2 linked regions of the Drosophila melanogaster genome follow. The protein of the gene in region 1 interacts with the protein of each later gene in a pairwise test. Each region holds a gene or a part of one and is shown on either strand. Other genes may lie near its edges. The genes, in order: side-II and Sec63.

The links.
Region 2: the proteins of side-II (region 1) and Sec63 interact in a two-hybrid assay, tested with the Drosophila melanogaster proteins (one large-scale study listed by BioGRID).

Annotation. Positions count from the first base shown.
Region 1 is NT_033779.5:14,969,106-14,974,056, forward strand, and holds the start of side-II (sidestep II), read right to left. Parts: upstream 3,196-4,951; 5' UTR 2,438-3,195; intron 1-2,437.
Region 2 is NT_037436.4:7,358,704-7,365,044, reverse strand, and holds Sec63 (secretory 63), read right to left. Parts: upstream 4,485-6,341; 5' UTR 4,138-4,484; coding exon 4,014-4,137; intron 3,407-4,013; exon of another isoform or gene 3,302-3,406; coding exon 2,592-3,301; exon of another isoform or gene 2,524-2,591; coding exon 1,275-2,523; intron 1,193-1,274; coding exon 1,014-1,192; 3' UTR 679-1,013; downstream 1-678. Other genes in the region: pst (pastrel), read left to right, coding at 5,021-5,124, 5,195-5,577, 5,656-6,194, 6,265-6,341.

The sequences.
Region 1 (4,951 bases):
AAGCATTCTCATACTTCTTACTAAGCGAAGTGGAATTTCCGGAATTGTTCATTATGTTTTCCTTACATGAGCTGGTTTGCTAGTTATACTCTTTGCGAATAACTCATAATTTGTTTACGTTGAAACTTAAAATGCAATAAACTAATTTTGAGGCTATATTCTAAAATATCTTTATTTTAATACAACAAAAAAGTAAAATAAAATTTTCAAGACATTTGTACCATAGCTCAATTTAAAATTTTTGCTTGCTTGAAATACCGAAATTCAACAGAACAAAACTCAGGGCAAATGAAGATTTACATTTCAATTTGCATTAGTGCAAAAGGCAAAGAAAAACTTTCTTAATGCACGCATTAAAAAAGAATGATGAAATTGCATAAAACTTTAACTGAGTTGTAAGCAAAACTGCGGTGGGTTTGAAGGAGTGGGAGGGTAAAAAGTACATTAAAATCACATTAACCCGTCAACGGTGAAGTTTGGTTGGGTATGCTTAACTTTTGTTTATACGTTTCGGCTTAATGCCTTTTTGAAGTAAGCACACACTCGTGGATAATGTTATACGTACTCCTGATAAGCCATATATACAAATATTTATATATATATGCATGTAAACTAACCCCTAACTGCTTATCCCTTTGGGAAATGTATCTTTTCCCCTCTCCTATTTTCGTTGGACCCATTGCACGTAATTGACTTTTCGCCATAAATTTGTACTCCAACAAATGCAGGCGACATTCCACTCTGGCTTTTTCATTTCCCACTCCCTTGGCAGCTCAATTAGCCATTAAGCTTTTCGAAATTGTCAAAAATGTTTTAAGGGGGACAGTACGCCAGCATAGCCAATCAAAAATTCAGCCTACGCACTTGTATCTCTACATTTGTATCTCGGCATTTGTATCTGCCTGTGGCAGAGGACAACCAGAGCTTCGGTCAAAAACGCACACCCCTTCACCGTTATCTCCGTTTTTTGGGTTAGCCGTGCGTGTCCATTTAGACGCTTTGCATTGGCTCTGCTGGTGGCTCATTTGCATATTTTAATTGTCCAAAAACGAGAGGGAAATTCGTAAAATCACTGCAAGACTTAAATATTAACTTTGCCAGAAGTTTGTAATTTCTCACTCTTTCACTTCCATTTACTGAACTAATTTATTTATTTTCTCCGAAACTAAGCAGCAAATGTAAGCAAGTACTTCGTCTTGGAACAGGAGTGAAGCGAAAGGCCTGACGTTGTCACTTTTCTCTAATGAAAGACGGCATGCAAATTTAATAAACAGGCGAAAGGCATGAAATTTGGGTCCTCTTCAGGTGGGCTGCTCACAACTTTAGTTGGCCCGAGCTCGAGGAACTGCAACTTTAGGGCCAAGACAGTGACTGCCCTTCTTGGCAGTGTTCCGTTATTTGACAGAAAATATAATGAAATATCTAATTAAAATTAATTTTTATTTATTATCTTGACATAATTGTAACACTCATTTTTAACGAGCACTGTTTAAATTACACATTACTAGAGTACATTAAGAAAGTTCTGAGGCTTGAAACTTTTGAAGTCATTCCATTATTTCTTTAAAGCCAAATAAACATTTTATTTTATTTAATAAAACAACATTAAATTTACATATGAATTATTCTGCAAAGTGAAATTCAAATATTGGTAAAAAGTGTTGATATTTTATTTCTACAAGAAATTACCAGAAGCATTTACTTATCTTTTGGAAAGTCTTTTTATACATTTTATACCACTACTTTATTTTGCATTGCTAGACAAAGGAATGGAAATAAAAAATATGAGCAAGACGGAAAAAAAAAACAAGTAAATAAACTTTAGGCAAAAAGTTTTAGGCAACTTTCTGGCAGTCAGTTGGCGCATTTTAAGTTACGGCAATCGACCCAGTGGCGTAGCGGAAAAGAGGGGTATCACGGGGGAATATAAGTTGCTAGCGACGAGGGAAAAGTGAAGGGGCGGCAAAAGTGAAAAACTGGCGCATCGAGACAAGAGCTTAAACCGCGAATTCCACAGCTTCAACACTGAAAAAATCCCAGCCATATCTGCAGTAGCAAATAACCAAAACCTTACAACATTTTTTGAAAAATATATAAATTAAAAAAAGATAAAAAAGGCTAATTTTACTTCTAATTATTTTAGTTTTCTCACAGTCACTGTTAACTATATCAGTCCAACCAGACGAACAATTTTATAACGAGACATAATTTCTGTTTTAATTATACATTTACCACTTGAAAAAAGAACGTAAAAAGAATTATGTAACATGGCAAACTCACTTAATTAATTAGAAAGTTACCAGAAGCTTAATTTATCTGAGACGTTTTTCTCTAACTGCAGCAACTGCGAGGGCGGTTGGCAATTTCAACTTTAGTTAGTAAACTTTTGGGCAAAAAGTCACTCTTAAAGAGCAAAAAGTGAGCTCGTCCAACTTACCTGGCGAGCAATTTAAATTTGTCCCACGCAGGATAATCCTTTATTGCAGTTGTTGCTATTTGTGTTTGGTGGTGGTGGTGCTGCTGCTGCTGTTGCTTCTGTTGCTGCTTTTGTTGCTAATATTATTGTTGCTACTGTTGCTTGACTTTTGTCACGCACAAGAAGGCAGTGGGCCAAGCCAACTTTGAACTGACCACGTGACCATCAAAACACAAACAAACACACGGTAACGAGAATATACACACCGGGTCACACGAACAACAACAACACGGACACAGACACACACACACACACAACGAAGACACTGGGCCACTTGCAAATACTTAGTTGCTGGTTTTAATGTATGCCCGAAACGAGAACAGGGCAATTAAATCGCCTAAGAGGAGCCGTAGTGTAGCCTTTTGTGTGTGCAACAATATCAGCTGCTCGCTGAGTGAGTCGCATGATTTTATTTGCCTTTATTATTCGGAAAACCAACAGCACGCAAACCTCAATGCAGTTCAAAACCCTAACCAAATTGGCGCAGGTATATTCTAATTAGCTCTTATTGATTTCGATAATTGGTCCTTTCTGGCGGTACGAGAATTATATTTATTCGCGAAACAGCGCACCCGATTCTCAGCGTTTGTGGGTGGGTGTGAGTGTGTGTGCAGGACGAGACCCGATAACTTCGCTAATTCGATGGCTGCCGCAGCGAGCGTCAGCATCCCTGCAAAACCACGTTCAAAACAGTCCGACGGCTGAGCTTCAACTGAATCGGCCTGGCCAACTCAGAGCCCCATAAGCCCCACAAGCCCCACAGACCCCACCGTCCCCCGCCGGAAGTCGGCCGCCCGAAGCTCCGCTTCTCGGTAGCCGAACGCCGAGAACGAGCCCGATCCGAGCTGCAGGATAAGAGCCGAGCGCAGCAAAGGATAACACGAGCGCGAAACTCACGAGCATCTCGCAAGGCAGCTGAGTAAAGAGAACGCAATGAATGAACTGCTCGCTCTCTGTGTTAACAAAATTAAATTATTAAAAATGCAATCAAACGCTTTTGCTAATCTTTTTCAACTCACTTAAAAAGAGATTCATATCCTTAGCACAGATATAAATAAATAACAAAATGCCTTGTAAGCAAGCTCAAAAAATTATATATTATTTTCACCAACATAAGCTATGGAAATAATATTTATTATTTTTATCTACTGTTCACTCTATTTACTTTATTACTAACTTACTTTAGTAAGTTTTAAATAAAACCTTTTCCGAAATATGCAATAAGGTAAAATATTTTATCTATAATAAGTGTACTTATTGTCTCTATTATCAATCGCCTATATTTTGATCGGTAATTGTGAGATTTAAAAATTGGAGATAAGAAAACATGAGAATTTCATGCAGTAGCAGAATTCAAAGTTTCAAAACGAATAATCACAGAGCAAAAAGCAAAGAGTAAAACTCTTATACTTTCCTCAGTTTTGGTATAAAAGTGGTTCAATGCTTGGCTAAGCTTGGACTCCACCCACTATGTAAATTTGTAGTGTAAAATGTTGAACATTGTGTAAAATGTTGCCTTCTTTCAATTTAAAAAAGTTGTTGAACTAACATAATGCTGAAATTAAAATTAATAAGATAGTTAAATAATAACAAGGTAAAGAGGAAATATTTCAAGGAATTAATAGCTATCAAAAAGCAAAGCGAATACTGAATAATTGAACTCTGTCAAATAGTTGAAAGGAAAAGCGAGATTTGATTTTGATTTTTTTACTGTAGCTTTTACCTTTCCATCTGTCACCAATTACAGATCAAATCCAATCAAAACTAGGGACTACCAGCTAATTAACTACAGAGTTACCTCATCCTCTTGCGCCATGGCCTCCTTCCACCAGAGTTTTATCAACCTTCGTCGCATCGCTTTTAACTGCAATCACTCAGAGTAAAAATTGTCGTCAAGATACGTACAAACTCATACAAGACGCGTAAAAAATGGCAAGCGAAGGAGACAGACAGAAAATAAAACCCGAAAATGAATTGCAGCGAAATGTTCAAACACACTCTACGAAATTGACTTAAATAAATAAATGGCATAAAAACAAAGACAAAACACATGCGCAGCAAGAAAGTGAATCGAGAGGCAGGGGACAACGGCGTGTCATAGAAACAAAGTGCATTCCCAGTGGTGGAAAATTGGGTGGGAAATTCCTAAAGATGAGGCGGATTGGGGCGGGGCCGGTCCGGGCTTGGTTGTTGTGTTAGCTTGTTGCAACATTTTCATTTCATTTTATTCAGTTCAGTTCAGTTCAGTTCAGTCAATGCAATGCAATGCAACGTTCGAATGCAACAATTGCAAGTGCAGCAAAGACAACGCTTAGTAGCTCATCCATTTTCATTTGTATTAAGCAAAAGGCAAAGGACATGGCCAAGTTGCAGAGGAATCTCAATCTCTTCGCGTTTTCCGCTCGCGTGAAATAAAAGCGTTGGCATTACTCAGCAAATACTTGTTTGCTTGTTGCCTTGACAAAAAGTCTATAA
Region 2 (6,341 bases), on another chromosome or scaffold:
ATGTGACTTATTTACAATTTTTACTCCTTTCCCAAAACAAACAACAAAAAACTCGCTGCTGTCTACAACAACAATGAAAGAAGTTACCAGCGACCACAACAACAACAGCAGCATCAGCTAAGAAGACTTCAGATTCCCAATCGGATCTCTTATTGGACAGCGAGCGGGCAGCGGCTGCGCAGTAGGCGTCGACGTCAGCGCAGACAGAGGCAGCGCCAACTTTGATTTAAATTATTTTTATGATTTCCACAAACTATTCGGGCTTGTTGCAATTCTCACTTGTTTTTGCTGATTTATTATTTTATGTGTCGATACTCTAACAATGATACAACCGTTTTTTATTTATTACAAAATTAATTTACTTTTGCGCTAAAATATATTCAAATTCTAAAAGCTGTAAGCAATTAGTTTATCCAAAGGCTTAGCAAAAATGTAATAAAAAAAAAAACTTAAAAATTGCTAAGGTTTAGGCGTGGTCAATAACTTGAATGGTTTAAATTAAAGTAATTGTGATGCTATTTATTTAATTGAATAAAATGTTAATCTAGAAATTCAGCAAATTGTGCAGTAAATTTATGTTAATTCAGCATTAAAGTGAGCGAAAGTAGCAACAAGCCCGTGGGTTTTTCTTTCTCAGTTTATAACACAACAAAAGAGTAGTAATATCAATAGACTTTTGTATTTACGTGTCTCACTTTTAGTTCTTGTATCCAAATAATTAAATATACAGTACATTATAATTATGTTTAGTACAGTACACGGTAAAATGAAGTTATAGTTATTTACGCACTAGTTCGGGGTCTTTTCCATTACAAAACTAGTAAAAATGCGAAGGAAGGGTTCGCATTGGTGTGCCTCCGCCACGCGCCACGCGAAACTCATTTACTAAAAGGAAAACAAAGAGGCTTCTCTTCCGTCCCAGTGAATTAGAGAGGAGGTTGAGGTTGATTGGGGTTCAGGACGTCTATCCATCCGTCCGTCCGTCCGTCGCACTGTCCATGTAGACAGTGGATTTATTCGCCGTCCTCCTCATCGGACGTATCTGTTGTATAGTCGCTCAGGTTCTCCTGCTGATCGGTGTGCTCCGGTTCCGATTCGCTCAGATCCCACTGAGGATGATCCGTCGGTGGTGCGGGAGCCTTCTGTACATCCAACTTCAGCTCCTGCTGCTGATCCATACCCAAATACGAGTCTGAAACAGAGGAAACATTGTGTGAGAATCCCCCCTTCGAATGCCAATGTACTATGCAATCCAAACTCTTTTAGAAACTCACCCGATCTCAGGCAAACGGTGAACGTGTAGACGCCCGGCCAGCGCGGCGCGGTAAACTTCAGCTGGATCTCCTCCTTCTCGACCAGATTGGTCACATGATAGGGCGCTGTGAGCAGGGTGCGCGACTTGCGATCGCATATGTAGGTCCACCAGTACTCCTGCTTCTCCTCGGGGAAGTAGGGGCAGTGGACGGTGTGCGACAGCCGAGACTTGCCCTCGAGACGCTCCCTCTTGTTAAGCTTAGCTTGCAGTCGCTCCCACTCCTCGTCATCGTCGTCGTCCAGCGAGGAGTTGTTCTTGCCCTTCTCCTCATCCTCGCTGCCACTGCCGGCAGCCGATTCCACATCGCTGCCATCCGCATTTCCAGCCTCCGATTCGGCATCGGAGTTACCCGCCGCCGCTTGATCCTCGGATGCCGTGATCGTAGCTGTTGTCGCAGCCTTGGCCGGCACCTTCTTCTGGTTCTTTTGGTTCTGGGCTGGTTTCTTACCACCCTTTCCCTTGCCACCCTTACGTGGCTTGGCCCAGGCAGAAGCCTTCTTGACCGGCGCAGCGGCAGCAGCCTCATCCTCATCACCGGCAGCCTCCTCATTGGTCTCATCCTTGATGCCCTGCTTCTCAGGCGCCTTTGTGTCACCGAATAGCGTCTTCATGTCCTTGCGCTCCAGCGTAACCGTGACCGTAACTATGGCCCCGGCGGTCACCACATTGGTGTTCTCATCGTCGATAACCTCGCAGCGAATGGAGAAGTCAATCAGCGGCATCTTGCCCAGCACTTTCATCGTGTTCTCGTACTCAAAGTCAGATAGGTTCTTCAGAAGCTGACGGCTCTCCTCCGGCTTGAGCTGGGCGAATTGCTGCAGGTTCTTGACGTGCCTCTTCTTGTTCATAAAGTACAGATGGTCCTCGGTGAGATGGGGCAGCTGCAGCAGTGGCGATTTGAACTCCCACAGGCCTTGGATAATCATCGGCGACATTTTCATGCAGTTCTCAATCGTTTCGATGCTGGGCAGGCGGGGCACACGTCGGGCATAGGCCATCATGACCAGCTGGTGAACGCAGGAGACCATTTCTTGCACCAAATACGGGCACTTCTTCACCACAAACTGGCGATCGCGCTCCAGAGTTTCCGGATTGAGGGGCATGCGACTGAGATGGGCATGCAGGATGGCGCGAGCCTTGATGGAGTACATGCGGCACAGCGGATGCTCCTTGCACTTCTCATTCAGATTGGGCAGCTGTCTAATCAGCTGTATTCGAAAAGGAAGTGTTATTAGTGAGCGAACAACGAATGGAAATTCCAATAAAATGCACTCACCGCCGGCACCTCGTCATTGTCCGACTGCCGCTCCTGGACCTGCGAGTTGTGTCGCTTGTCAAACTCCAAACTGGCTGCCAGAACCATAAGTGCCCGCTTGAGCAGCATGTGCGGTGTCTTGTGGATGAAGTAAAAGTACATCTGAGTGGTATCGAGCAGCACTTTGTCGCCACTGAAGCGGATGGAGCGGTACCACCAAACACCCACTGCCGAGGGCATGGCCACCATGAAGACCAGGCCGTACAGACCCAAAACCCAAACGCTATTCTCCTTCTCCACAATCCACGAGGGCAGGGCGATGCCAAAGGACATGGCACCCGGTCCATCCGGATTACCATACTTCTCGTAGTTCTCCTTTGCCACATCGTCGGTCAGCGCCTGGTACGCTTTGCTCAGCATCATGAAGGACTTCTCGTCACCCGTCTCCTTGTCGGGATGGAGCACCTTGGACAGCCGGTAGTAGGCCTTCTTGATCTCGGCCTGCGACGACGTCGGCGGCACATTCAGGATCTCGAAGGGATCGAAGCTGGCCATCTCGTAGTCGAACTGCGAGACGCGGTACGTGAGGAAGAGCAGTAGGGCCCACCCCAGCACTATGGTCAGCTTGATGGTCCATGACGTGAGAGCTCTGTACGGCTCGGCATTGGCCAAGATGGTCTTCTTTTTCTGGCAGTCGGCGCACTGACATTCCTCTTTAAGTTTGCTGTTATCTGCAAGTATGTGTACGAAAATTGGGTCAGTACGGGGATTATATAGGCTATTTTAAAATATTTGAAATTTATCATTTTCACTTAAGATGGCTAATAAAATGATTTAAAAAAAAAACGATCTTTACAGGTACCTGCTAACCTGATTACGATTAAAATTAGTTGAGGTCTGTCTACGCATATTGCATTTTTTTTTTTACCGGGAATGCCAGCGCTACAGAAATGAAAATCTCGCGAGAGGAAAATCGTGAGAGAGCAGCCGATTGGTCAGTGAGCGTGTGTGCAAAGTGCACAAGCACAGCATGATCGCGATAAGTCAAAGGTAACTTGCTCATAATCACTCCTCCTCCACCGATCACGATGATAGGTAAGTTATCACGATATTAGCGACGCATGGACGCTTGTGGAGCGTTGAGTGCGCTGTCCCAATTGGAAAACGAAGAGAGCTCGACTTGCGGTAATCGCAGCGCAGCTTTCACCCATACGAAGACGATGAGCTGACGTTGTTAGAATAACTTATTGGAACGTGTCCATTTAGTTTGTTGGTGGCGGCGGGAGGGTTAGAGCAGGAGAGCGTGGTAATCACATGTATGTCTATGCCTTCGCCTTACTGGCACTCACTTACACACATACACACGCGCACAGCTGCAGGTGGAAAATTAAAAAACAAGAGCGGAGAGAGTGCGATTTAAATCGGCTGGCAAGCGGCACTTACCTTGTTTCTTTTTACGTGGCCAATAGTAAATGGTGGTCGGTATCAATATTAGCGCCAAGAACGATAACACAAAGTAGTAGAACGTTCCGCCGCTCTCATCATACTGAAACTTTTGACCCGCCATCTCCGACAGCGACTATATGTATTTTGTATTTTGTCTGGCACTGCCTTTTGGCTCCGTTCCGTTCCGTTCCTTTCTCTGCCGCCGCTTTCCCCTGCACTTTTCCTCCGGCAGATCCAGCTGATGTTGCTGTCGCGTTGGAGTTATCGCTACAATCGCTGCGCCCCGTGGATTCTCGATCGACACGCGGCGATCTGCGAGATTCGAATGGGGCAGGAGCTGGTGTTGTTGCTGCTGCTGCTGCAAGATATCGCGAGATTGGCACGCCGCGAACTTAAAAAACTCTGTATTTACACCGACGCATGAGACTGACACGTAGGGTTGTTTGGCTCGTGCTGGAACCGATAGGCGTAGCTGGAGCGGAGCCGGTTCGATTGCACGGCTATCGATAGGCGGGAGGCAGCATTCATAGTTTAGGGTTGCCAAAGCTGGCAGTACTAAGTTTAGAATCTGATTTTTTAGGTCACCAAGTACTAAAAATGTTTGCAAGCAAAACTTTTGTCAGCAAGTTTTCAATGTAAATGTATATTTTTAAATGGATTTGCCTATATATATATATATATATATTTTTTTTTTTTATAATATAATATGTGCTCGCTAGAAATACAAAGCAAATATCTGATTAGCATGAGCTCATCGTCTCGTTACATTTTGGGTTTAGCACGCTAGCAGCTTTTTAAATTTTGCTCACCAAAGAAGGTGACGGTGGAATACGGGGTATTCATATAAAGGTATGATCCCTAGAGAGCTTTTCTGCCGTCTTGCCTTTTCGGTATTTCGAGTACGATCGTTCAATTAGTGTGCGCCTTAACTTAAAAGCTGGTGATTCCGTGGCACAACTCCATTAGCAGCACAACTGTGGCAACGGAAAGGTGACAACTTAGGGATGGCGAATAGATTAGGAAACCATGAAGTTACCCGCACCGCACGTGAAGTGCAGCAAAACTTTGCCGAGTCGCTCGGCTACGCGGAAGAGATAATCTGGGATCTGTAAGTACTGCTACTGCGCATTAGAATTTTGAATTCAAAGTATTTGGGGTAATGACGTAACCCCTTACAGGTTGTCCCATGAACAACATGACGTGCTAAGGGGCAAACTCTGTCAATTGATTCGTGATTCTCCGGAACCGAAAACTGCAACGGAAACTGAAAAAGACAGAAAAATCCGGCTGAAGGTCAACGCAGATAATGAGCGCGCCCGTCAGATCATTTTCGATTCCGTTTGGCAGCAACGTGAGTTGGACTTACAGATTGTATATAGTATAGTACATTTTTTCGCTGCCTTAACTGCGTACAATTGTTTTCCAGGAAAGTATACCAACCGTCAATCGCTGACGGCGATCATTTACGTAATGGTGGTAACTGACGAAACGGACGTCAATCGCGCCGAGGACGCCAGAGTCTTCAGCGTGCACCCAGTCTTTCGGGCCCGTCGATGCGTCGGTGAGTCATCCTTTGCATACGTATGCAATTTACAATATATTTCCTATCTATCTATCAATGGATCCATTTAATACTCAGTTGGCAGTAGTGGCACCAGCAGCGTCAGCTCGAATTGCTGCAATCTGTTTATCGACGAGCTTGGTCGGGTCTACCAAAACTGGGAGATGTATGTGACCACCAACGAGTTGCCTGCCGGAGTGATGGTGGCCCCAGAGAAGGGTATTTACCGCTTGGTCAGGGATCAAGTACGTCTGGATAAGTACACAACGCCGGCGGGCACGACCAACAGGAAGGTGCTGGGCTACCTGGATACTGGGTCGGCAGTCGGAGGATTTTTTGCTGCCTGTGTGCCCATTGCTGCCCTGCTAACGCTGCCCGTATCCGCTCCGCTGATGGGCGCAGCGGGAGTAGTAGGTTTGGCCAGTGCTGGATACGCCGCATCGCGGTCTGGCAGCAAGCTATTCGATCGCAGCCAACATGAGCAGTCTATCAATGTGACGGACCGCGAAGCGCGTGGTCACTGGTTGGGCGTGGCTGGTGGCACTGTGGGATTGGCAGCGGCTGGGGCCACCACAGTCTTGACAACGGCCACAAATGCTGGACGCGAGGTGGGAGCGGTGAGTCCTTAAACCCCCCCCCCCACGCAATCAACAATGGAATAAAAATGTTAAATATGTACTCACATAGATCACCCAACTGACTGTGAATAGCATGAACATATCCTCGATTGTGGTATCGGGCACTGGAGTTGCCAATGGTGTGCT